2 linked regions of the Saccharomyces cerevisiae S288C genome follow. Changing the gene in region 1 together with any one later gene gives a genetic interaction. Each region holds a gene or a part of one and is shown on either strand. Other genes may lie near its edges.

The links. A genetic interaction does not mean that the proteins touch.
Region 2: mutations in RIM1 (region 1) and TML25 together harm fitness more than expected from each alone (negative genetic interaction), as found in Saccharomyces cerevisiae (2 studies listed by BioGRID).

Annotation. Positions count from the first base shown.
Region 1 is NC_001135.5:171,255-177,140, forward strand, and holds RIM1 (Rim1p), read right to left. Parts: upstream 2,187-5,886; coding exon 1,945-2,186; intron 1,862-1,944; coding exon 1,696-1,861; downstream 1-1,695. Other genes in the region: FEN2 (Fen2p), read right to left, coding at 1-1,170; SYP1 (Syp1p), read right to left, coding at 2,572-5,184. UniProt on the Saccharomyces cerevisiae protein: This protein binds preferentially and cooperatively to single-stranded DNA (ssDNS). Involved in mitochondrial DNA replication. Stimulates PIF1 helicase activity.
Region 2 is NC_001144.5:382,903-388,686, forward strand, and holds TML25 (palmitoyl-(protein) hydrolase), read right to left. Parts: upstream 2,507-5,784; coding exon 1,823-2,506; downstream 1-1,822. Other genes in the region: CLF1 (Clf1p), read right to left, coding at 1-1,632; ESCRT-I subunit protein SRN2, read left to right, coding at 2,632-3,273; YPS1 (aspartyl protease), read right to left, coding at 3,609-5,318. UniProt on the Saccharomyces cerevisiae protein: Hydrolyzes fatty acids from S-acylated cysteine residues in proteins with a strong preference for palmitoylated G-alpha proteins over other acyl substrates.

The sequences.
Region 1 (5,886 bases):
GTTTGCCCACGAAAAAAAAACCGCTTGTCCAGCGTATGCTACGCCTCCAAGATACTGTGCAGAAAAGACGACTTTTGGATTTAGTGGGTCTGCACGTATTAGTACCGCAACAATAACCATTACCAATGATATGAAAACAGAAACATGCCAATGCCTAGCTCTTGGGATCTTACTCATATATACAGCAGAACAAAGCGTAGAAACTATACCTACGGCAAATATCCCCGAAGGATAATTATTTCTTTGCGCCAACGTATATTTTTGGTTTTGTAACCATAATGCAAATGTAGAATTAGATGCGAAACCCAAGTTCTCACCTCCCAGAACCCAAACAAGAGAGAACATCCACCAGTGCCACCTTTTTAAGACTCTAGGAATAGTCGACCAGTCTAACCGGGTGCTTTCGTCCCTAGCGGGGAGCCTTCTCCTAGCATAATGTAGCTCTTGTTCATTAAAAATGTATCTCGTCATAGAAAATTTGCTAACAGCACTTGTTTGATCAGGAAGGCCGGGGAAGAAAATAAACCCATAAATTGCAATGGGTAATGTGATACAAAAATCAATAATGAATAACCATCTCCAACCCGCCAAGCCATTCCGCCCATTCAAATGAGTAAAGATACTTGTTTGCATAAATCCACTGAACATAGATCCCACCAAACCGCTACCTGTAAAAATAGCACTTCTAATGGGCAATTCGTCTTCTTTATACCACGAACCCAAAACAAAATGTGTTCCTGAAAATGTGCAACTCTCAAATAAGGCTTGAAAGAATCTAATTGCGCAAATATGTTTGAACGATGTAACTTTGTACATTCCCAAGGTCAATAAACCCCAAGCAAACGTACAAAAACTTAGCCATATCCTGGGCGGAACACACAATAACATTAAATTATTGGGGACCATACCTACAATGTAACCAATCATGAAAACTGTGTTAGACACGGTCAAATCGTTTCCGACCATCTTAAGATCTTCCTTCATACCGGATATATATGCATTGGTGAAACCGACACGGTCGACATAATTAATCCAGTATTGCAAGCAAACAAATGATAGCACAAACAAGTCTATTTTAAACAGAAGTAATCTCTTTTTAATGGCACGCTTGGAAGAAACAGATTCTCTCTCAACCTCATGTTGAGTGATAGATTTCGATTCCTTCATCATGACTTAGGCCCAGGCTCTCTCCAATCAAAAATTCTGAAAACAGCTTCTCAATCTTGAATAAATCGGAATACTTTTATATCAGAATTACAGGTCCGCCTCATTTCTCTTAAGAGCCGATGTCTTCCTTTACAATATACGCATGTAGAAGATTTGATCGATGCTGAGTTCTTGTAATTCGTCAAAAATGCCTTTCAAGATCGACTACTCAAAATCTACAATAATCGGACTGCATGGATCAATGGAGGTGTAGGCAATTTTGTAACAATGAAGGATATGTTAAATTCGCTAAAGCTTCCTCCTCTTTTGCTAAATTTCATCATCAAAAAGCATTTTGCATAACACACGTTAACCAATATATTATAGTATATATACATTCTATTTGAGAATAAGCATAGTTTTACATAACTAGTTCGTTATTCCAAATGTATTTTTCCTATTTGCCATAAATATTTTAAGTAAAAGAAAGCATGCTCTAGATAAAAAATATCGAGGAAGAGTCGAAATAAGCAAGCGTAAATATTACAATTATTCTGAAGAAGCAGCATTTTCTTGGCCCTCAGCATCTTCTAATTTCTTCCCATTCTTCAATAAATTAATGTCCTTTTGAACTAAGCTCAAAGTAGTACCCTTAGAACCGTCGTCTCTCTCGAAGACATAGTTAGCAGCATCTGCTTCAACATATACCAAAGCGCTGAATAAATTATGGAAAGGAAATGTTAGTAAATTATAACGCGTAATTGTAAAGTAAGTAAAATTGAAGAATAAATAACATACCCTTTTCTAACATATTCTGTCAAAAAATTGATTTGAGGTTCATTGAAAACGGTGATATTATACCAATTGGTTTGGCCATCTCTTCTTGGTTGCGAAGCGATACTATATTTCAAATAACGATTGTTATTAGCAGAAGTATGTTCAGTGAATTCAGAGCCAATGCGGCCGACGATGGACATTTTCGAGAAGTCCATCTTCTTGGTAGTAGCATGGAAGAAACGAGCTTGAGTACGTAAAAACATTACAATGGATTAGTGGATTTTTGTTTGTTTTGTATTTGTCAAGGACACACAATTAGCAAATGACTTGTTATCAAATTCGTGGTATTTGTCTTTCTCAACTACTGTGTTAGCTTTTTTTTTTTCGTCTGGGCGCAAACGCCTTTTAAGCACTCCTCCACAAATAATAAGTATTAGATGAAAAGTCCTAAAAGTCCGAAAAATGGAATAGAAAAGAACGAAAATACAGAATCTTTACAGAACATTATAGTACATAAGTGTAGTTCTACGTAAGTCTTAAACAAAGGTTTCAAAAGGAAAATATGATTTAGCGGCGCCACCTCCATAAATTATGGATTAGCAAACAAAAGAACAATTAATATTGAAAAATAGAAGCATAGCAGAAATATCAAGCGAGACCATGGTAGTTACCAGTGGTCAAAGTTCTTTTTGTGTTTACATCGAGCCACTCACCACCAAATGGATTGTTTTCATCCAGCTCCTGACAAGTCAAGGTGATTCCACTGCCGGCTCCGCTATGGGGTAGAGCCACGTTATCCGTCTCACTGATAGTGAATTTGGTAATCACGCCTTTAGCGGATTCATGTGCCAGGCCGTCTGTAATAAATCTGGCGATTAATCTTTGACCTTCACCATTTCTTGTCAAAACAACTGGTTCTTTAAATCTCCACGTTATTCTCTTCTTTTCTTTACTGAAGGAGCCCTGAGGTTTTGATAAAGCGCTTGTTGCATTAGCACCATCGATATTCACAAAGACAACGAGGTCTTCTATTACGATTTGTGATATTTCATCGGGTAAGCTTGGTGACATCTTGACAGTCAATACAACACTTGCCTGGTGAGATTCAAATCTCCAGACCGGATGAATAACAATAGGCGCGATCGGCTCCTTTATGGAATATTTAATAGCTCCTAAGGTTCTAGAATCGATAAATGAAGGGTTAACTTTGAATTCTTCTGGAGCAACACGCTCAATAAAGGCTTGGTTCAGAATGACCTTTTCGAACTTAGCGCCATTATTGATTCTCAAATTAATACCGATAGGTAAAGGCGAATTCATGACAGAATTGGGTAAATAGTTGAGGGCAATTTCCCCAATCAGTTGGGAGTTCTGCAACATACCGTCTTTGAAAGAAGCATTGAGCACTTCTGCGATACTAGCATTCAACCCAAATTGAGATGTATCTAAAGAGGAGTGCTGAAACAACGATTGACCAACTAAAGATGTTGAAGAGCCCGTGGCTTGAGGATTTAGTTCTCTTAGCTCGCCAGTAATCTGAGAGGAGAGTGTGGAAACTGGACGTTCCTGGGGAATAGAGGACAAGGAAGAAGAAGTAGGGGTAGCGCCTGAGCCGTGATTAGGCAAAGAGTCATAGAGTTGAGAATCCCTGTTATGAATGAAATTTTGTTTCCTTGAGGGTGGTAAAGCAGGTGCGCGGATATGCAAGGGCCTTGAATCAACTTGACCTGAAGGTTGGTTATCAACCGTAGCAGTAGGAAGTGAAATACTGGGAGAGGCAGGCTCAACTGGTAATGGTTTTGTTTTTGATTGTGGCTGAAGTGGAGGTTGAGAAATTGATATCGGTACTGTCTTGGGTAAGTTACTTGAGTCTGGTTCTTTCGCAGTGGGTGGAGAACTTTGTTGTGGCGTTGAAGGAGGCACTTCAGAAGGAGTAAAAGTTTGCGCAGGTGGTGTATCGGCAGTAACAGGTGCATCTACGTTTTTAGGAGTAGCATGGGGAGGAAGAGGAGGAGTGTCACTAGCTTCACCCGGGGTCCAATTGTTTGATTTTGATGATGAATAGGTGGGTCGACGTTGCTTCTGATAAATAGAAGAAGTTGCAGTTGAAGACACTCTGGTGGAAGAATTATTCGGAGTCTCAGTGATGGATGCCTGAATATGAGAGTTTGATGATGATTGTTGTTGTCTCTTGTTCTTGGTCTTATTTCTACCGAAAATTGAGCCCACTTTAGATCTTAGGGTGTGGGACGACTTTTTTGATTTCAAGGAAGAATTATTAGTAGAGTCTGAAAATTCGTTATTCATGAGATCATTATGAGTGAGACTGGAAGATGCAGAGGCAAGACGATGTCCAATGTTTCCAAATGCACTCTTACGCTTATCCTTTTGTGGGGATTTCTTTTCTCTTTCCGTATTAGCGGCACCATTGGATACAGAGACCGGGCGGGCACCAGTGGCAGAAGCTGGCGAAGCATTATTAGGAACTACTTCTTTGGAAGAAGAGGATAGTTGGAAGTTGTATTGACTGGCATCTTTGGCAAAACGATCAATTTCACTTTGCGGTTCGAATGCCAGGAATTTCGTCATCACCGTTTCGCATTCTTTGGTAGTATTTAGTAAATAATCGCTAAAACTGGTTTGAAATCTAAGCATACAGTTTTTTAAAGTGTCCAAACGGTTATAGTCAATAGTCTCGAACAGCTCAAACAAATAGGGGCTTTGCTGGTCCCATTGCCTTCTTGCCTCTTCTAAGTGACTAGAGTTTTCGTTATTCTTACTATAGTGCTCAATTGAAGCTGCATTTTTACTAAGCTTGGAATGTAAGTCCTTGCTTTCTCTCCAGCTAGTATTGTTCTCCACGGATTCCTTCAATTCACGAACGACTTGCTGGTCCAAAGTGTTGTAGTATTCTGTACTTGACTTCAAATCTGATTTTAGTTCTTCAATTACAGTATCCCATACATTTCTTAGCTCTCCCAGCGAGTTGAATCTGAATGCACTCATTTCCTGCGGAGTCAAAACATTACTTTCAATCATTTGAGCGTTTAAGATCTTTGTTATATCTTCATTTTCAGCTATTATTTTTCTCAATTGCTGAGCATAGTTCCTCTTCAGATTTGCCAATTCCTTAAATAACAGGTAAAAGTCTTTATTCAACAATTTGACCTGCGATAACCTGATTCTAATAGTTTCGGTAGCCTCGTAAGGACTCTTAGTAGTCAATATGCTATCTGCATATTTGGTTCTTTGTTCCGTCATGAGAGGTGATTATTCGCAATTTTCAAATAAGCTTGCTTCAATACGACTACAGCAAAAGTAATTCCTTTATTAAGGCAATAACTACGAGACCTTTTCTTTGTATTTCGTGAAAACTTGAATGCAATATAGAGTTTTTCAATCTGCAAGTACTTAAGGGGCCCTTTTAGCTACACATAATATAGAAATGAAAGATCACGGGCTACGAAAAGCCATTCATAATCATATACAAATATCACCTGTAATATATAAGAATATATGAGCTATTGATTTTCTTCTACCGCCTGATTTAGTTGTTTTCACTCTTCAAAACTAAATTCAGTATTAGCGACAGTGGAGGTGCTAGTACTCTGTAAATGAAAGTAAACGCTGGTATTCATGTAGAGCACCAACCTGACTGTGAATGCGTAAGCTGAAACATGATAGCCGCCTGTAAAATATTGTTATCAATAAGTAGACCGGCTTACACGAATAGGATTCGCTTTATTCTTTACTCCCCACTCAACCCTAAGCAATGTTCAAAATAGTGTGAGATTATTTTATGCGCGCCTCCTTCAAAAAAAAATTTACATATATAACATAGGTGGAAAAACTTCCCTCCGATGTCTAATAAGTTAATCAATAGAATGAAATGGACACGAAAAGGCGTAGACATGGAAGATGACAATGACGAGAACGTCATTTTTTTTTCCACGTATTTTAAAA
Region 2 (5,784 bases), on another chromosome or scaffold:
GGAATATTGGTTGAGCTCCAAATATCTTCTATAAAGCTTCCTTGCCTTTTCAAATTCTTGTGATTCTGTCTCAAATGTTATGTATTTTTGAAGTAATACAATTTTAGCCTCCTTTGTTAAGAAATCAGAATTTTCATCTAGTGCAATTGTATATATACCTCTTACTCTATCCCAATCTCCTAAATTTTCTTCTAGTTCTCCATATTGTGACCAAATTTGTAGATCAGAGGGCTGAAATTCAATAAATTTCTCATATATTTTTCTCACACGATCAAATTCCTTCAACTTCACTTCCAACTCGATATATCCTTTGAAAGTTTTAGCCTTAGGACATAAACCGATTGCTTTACCCAAAATTTTTCTCGCCTTCGGTACATCATCATGTCGTATCAGAAATTTAGCATACATTAGCCATATTTTGGAAAAAGTGAAATGTTTATGAGGGATGATGTCGTCAATTAACCTCTGAAAAAGTTCTTCTTCTAAAAGCGAATTTTCCAATTCTAACTCAACATAGCATATATATCTCATCCACAGATAAATATACCTTTTCCACTGAACATTTTTTGATAGTTCTTTTGGTCGGCTGTCCACAATAGCTTTCTCGAAAGTTTGCATTATTTGTTTGGGGAAACTTTCTGAAATGAGATCCAAGTACAGCCACCAGGTGTCATAATCATAGGCGTTATTACTCAATATTGTTTCATACTCCATTTTCCTTTTATAGCTAATAGTTTCTTCTATTGAGTTTATGTCACCAAACTGCTTTTCAAAATCCAACAGTCCTGCCTTGAGCAATTGATTGGAGGGCCATTTTTCTATAGCAATTTGATAAAGAGCACTAGATCTTTCGTATTCTTGCTGCGCAGCTTCCCAATGAGCAAATGAATTTACTAATTTTGCAACCTCCATATCAGACCAAATCTGTAAATTTTGGAGGTTAGCTACTGTGTCTATCGCTAAAGAATACACACTTCTCGTAAATTCAGTATTACCATGTCTATTTTCAAACCTCACCCACTTTAGCCATGTCTGCATTTGCGGGTGAGCCATGACGTATTTTGAGTAAATCTCTCTTACACCGTTCCAGTTTTTCTGTCTTATTTCAAAATCCACGAAAGAATTCCATGCATTAACCCCTGGCTCCAAGGAGCACCATTTGGTGTACAGTGATCGTACAATTTCAACGTTGTTTAACGACTCTTCGACAATGAGATACTTGTACCATAACTTGTCTACTCTGGGCAACGTACTAATAGCTCTGTTCATAAGATTCCTAGCATGGTTAATACATTTGACTTTCAGCTCAGCATCAATGTATCGTATCCAAAGGGGGATGAATGAACTATCTACTAATAATGCTCTTTCAAAGATAGATCTGGCGCGCCTCATGTCGTGTTGTTCGATTTCGAATTGCGCATAACGAATCCATTGTCCCATATCCAGTCGGTTTCTCTTCAAATAACCCTCATATTCTGTTCTCTTCCTTCGTTGATACTCTCGAAGTTCCTCCAAGTCTAATATATCAATATTAGTCGATCCTCTTGCTTTTTGCCCCTTCTTGTACACATCCCGCAGAATCTGCTCCGCAGAAACATGCGTATCAACGGCTGTTGGCTCTAAAGTGTCCATGCTGGCAATAGTAGAGTACTTTTAGCTCAAGTTTGTCTATCTATTATGAACTTGCATAATCAATGAGTCTCATCACCCCAACTATTTGGCACCAAGGTTTTTAATTTTCTATCGCGTCTTACGGATGTATATAAATTATTTAACCAAGTATAATAGCGGTTAAATTGAACTCGCAATATTAGGAAAAGAGCTATGATGATAAGCTCTTCTTGATAAATGAAGCCAAGTCTTCTAATTCATCTGGAACTGTAGAATGGGCCATACCTTTGTATACTTTAAATTCATAATTTTGTATCTCACAGCTATCTTGATAGAACTGTTTTGCCTTTATACCTAGTCCAATAGGAACTACTGGATCCATGTCACCATGCCCATGAAAAATTGGTGTCTTTACATTAATGCCATTCTTATGTTGTTTCAGAATTCCTGGGATGGAACAAAATCCCGACAGAGCTACTATACCACCGATTTTCCATGGTAAAGTAACTGATGTTGCGAGAGCTAATGCGGCACCCTGAGAGAAACCTCCGATAATAATCTGCTCCGGTTTAATTCCTTTATCAATTTCTTGCTTAACCGTCTTTTCTATGGAATTCAAAGAATTCATAAAACCGTCACTGTCAACTTTGGAAAAACTAGGATCCCATTCCAAGATGTCAAACCAAGCAGGCATCAATGCACCGCCGTTTGCTGTCACATGAAGCTCTGGAGCATTAGGAAAAACAAAATTAGTATGCTGGAAAGCGGCAGGGTCTCTCTGTTGTAAATACTGAGCTAAAAATCCCCATCCCGAACCTGTATCACCTAATCCATGCAAGAATATGATAGTTTGGCGTGCTGGCTGAATTTTTGCTGCAACTCTAAGTCCATTCATATTCGATAGCGCTCAAATGGGCAAATATAGTGTATGTGTTCTTATTTTCGTTCTCTTTTGCTAACATTTTTATTTCATACAGAAGCCATTTTTCCCTAGAATAGGCGTTCTGAAAAGAAGGAAATATGAAAGTAAAGGCTACAAAACTAAGGATAAAACAACGAAGGAAAAATAAGGGGCTCAATATAAGCAGATTAGATATTATCAGAGCAGAAATGGATGTGGTACCATCTCCGGGTTTACCAGAAAAAGTAAACGAAAAAAGCAAAAATATTCCCTTACCTGAAGGAATTAACCTTTTATCATCAAAGGAGATAATCGATCTAATTCAAACCCACAGACACCAATTAGAGTTATACGTCACAAAATTCAATCCCTTAACGGACTTTGCTGGAAAGATTCATGCATTCAGAGATCAATTTAAACAATTGGAAGAAAATTTTGAAGATTTACATGAGCAAAAAGATAAGGTCCAAGCCTTATTAGAAAACTGTAGGATTTTAGAATCCAAATATGTAGCTAGCTGGCAAGATTACCATTCCGAATTTTCAAAAAAATATGGTGACATAGCATTAAAAAAGAAATTAGAACAAAACACAAAGAAACTTGATGAGGAGAGTTCACAGCTAGAAACTACCACAAGGTCCATTGACTCAGCCGATGACCTGGATCAGTTCATCAAAAATTATCTGGACATACGAACACAATATCACTTGAGGAGAGAGAAACTGGCGACCTGGGATAAACAAGGTAATTTGAAATACTAGTTCAGCAGCTACCGCCATTATCAATATGTACGTATATAGACTATACTTTATAGATTATTCTAGATGCCAAACGAATTATTAGAATATTAAAGCCTTTGATTATAGGCCATATCCCAGGTAAATAGTATACTAGGAATGAGAAAAAAAAATGTGAATAAATGGTAACCTATTCTTAGTGGGTAAGATAAACTATTGTGAAGTAAAAATGAAGACCGCCAACGTAACAATAAAAAATTAATAATAAAAAAAAACTTTGCCCAAGCGAGAGCAACGATTTCCGCCAGAAACTCCAACTGGCTTGGAGATGTGAATGTCTAAACTTTGTGCAACGGTTTTCAGATGAATGCAAAAAGAAGAGAAATTAATGTGAGGGGTAAAGATGGAACTATATGATCACCAACATTTCTTTTACTTGATGTAGAAGTGGCGGATGCAGTACTGGTCGTCAGGTTACCGCTAAAGGAAGCAGTTTGTGAGGAATTTACAGTAAATATGTTACCACCGGTAACAATAGATGCACTTGTGGACCAAGTGTTTGTATAGCCTGGTGCCTTTACGGCGCTTGGAACAGAGGATGTAATAATTTCGATATTTTCGCTTGTGGTATTATAGCGAGCTTGTGCCATGGATATTTCAAGATTCTCCAAATCATAAACCACGTACGCGTTAGTCAAAAATGAATCACCCAAAATGGTACCTGTGTCATCACTCGTTGGGATAATACCTAAAAGACATGTAGTGCCAGTACTCAAGATAAAACTCGAAAGTGGTGCATTGATGTGAAAACCACCAAAATCGAACACTATTTCCATACTATCATCAGATGGACAGTCCAATACGTAATACCCTATCCTGGAAGAGTATTGCGCACCTAGTTCAGTAGCGATCATACTTACCACTGTTTGAGGTAAATAAGTCAAAGTAGTACCGGAATCCAACAAAGCAGGTATTTTAGTGGTAGTCAAGGTCTTGTTACTACTCCCAGAATCACTAATACCGATACCATTAATAGTGACATCAAATTGAATGGGAGAGCTAAATCCACTAGCACTCAGAGTGTTTACGATGGGGATTGTGTATAAGGTGCCGGTATATTTACTGTGGTCCACGGCTCCGAACAAAATGGTGCCATGCATAGCGTCCGAGTCGTTCAAATACAAAGAATATGTGTTGCTTTTGATAGCACCAGAATTTTTCAATACAATGGGGAAGTTGTCGTATTTATAAGCTTTTCCACTATGAGACGCAGTAGAGCCAGAATAAGTGACTTCTAATTCGGGCAAACCAATACCTAACACACCCATAGTAGAATTCGTTTCATTGGCAACGGCAAAAGACAACCCGGTAACGTTCAAGTCGCTTAAATCCAAAACATCCGTACCAAAAGTACCGGAGGCAAAAGTCCCATCACCGTAGCTAATACTGAAATAGGTGTTGTTTGATCTAAATGTAGAAGAGCCCGAAGTGGAAAATGTCCCGTATTGTTGACAGTCCATGGTGGCTTCCGAAGCAGGCACGGATTGAGTTGCCGTACCTGAACCGCCTCCTAAGCCCGTAGCAGTGGGGCCAATGGCACTGCCCGTTCCCGTCAACCAGCCAAATGGGTTTATATCATTAATCAAAGATCCGCCGCTTGACGAATCATCACGTTTGTCAATAACACGTCTCCGGCTACTACCCATACTGTTCGAAGAACAGTATGGATTATCCGAGCCCATAATCCATAGATCAGAGGAGCCTGTGTCCACCAGGACCGTTACGTTCTGTGGTGGCGTGCCCACTTCCAAGTCCACCGAATAGAAACTTTGCTGGTTGGTAATTATAATTTCTTCATAACCGTCAGCCCTCTTCAATAGGCGTACTTCCGGTTTTTTGTCGCTTCCCACATTTTCTAGCGAGTCCCCGTAAAGCTTATGAAAGGGCAACTTGACGAACTTGGAATTCGAGTCGTCGTCGCGCTTGTTTGCTGCTGGTATTATCTTACCGAGAACCTGCGATGCAAAGAGTGACGAAAGGACCGCAGATCTTACAGTTTTCAGTTTCATATGTGGTAGGTAATATTATACTATATGCTTGGTGTTCACCTTATCTTTTTATTACGCTATGTATTTTAATATACAGAAAAGCCAATTGCGTTCTTCTTAATAACCGTCCAATTGCGGAAATAGGAACAAATGCAAAAAGAAGGAAAAAAGTAAATCCTCTTTGACACCCTTTTCTTAAGTAGTCGGATTTCCCTGTTTCTCCATAAATAAGTCCACGAATTTTTTTATGAAACCTCAATTTTTTCGGACACATCAGTGAAACGAAAACTACTCATGGCGCAGTATAAAAGGAGCGAAAAGCCACTCAGTTGAGTGGACGAGGGAGGTGAGGTGGTGACAGAAAAGAGGAGGAAGGAGGCAGTGCTATGTGAGGGTGTCTTGGCTGCATGCAAGGTCTGACGATCTAATTGACGCGTCAGAACGTGTGTTTTAGGAATATTCTTATTTAAGTATGCTTTTCCTCTTG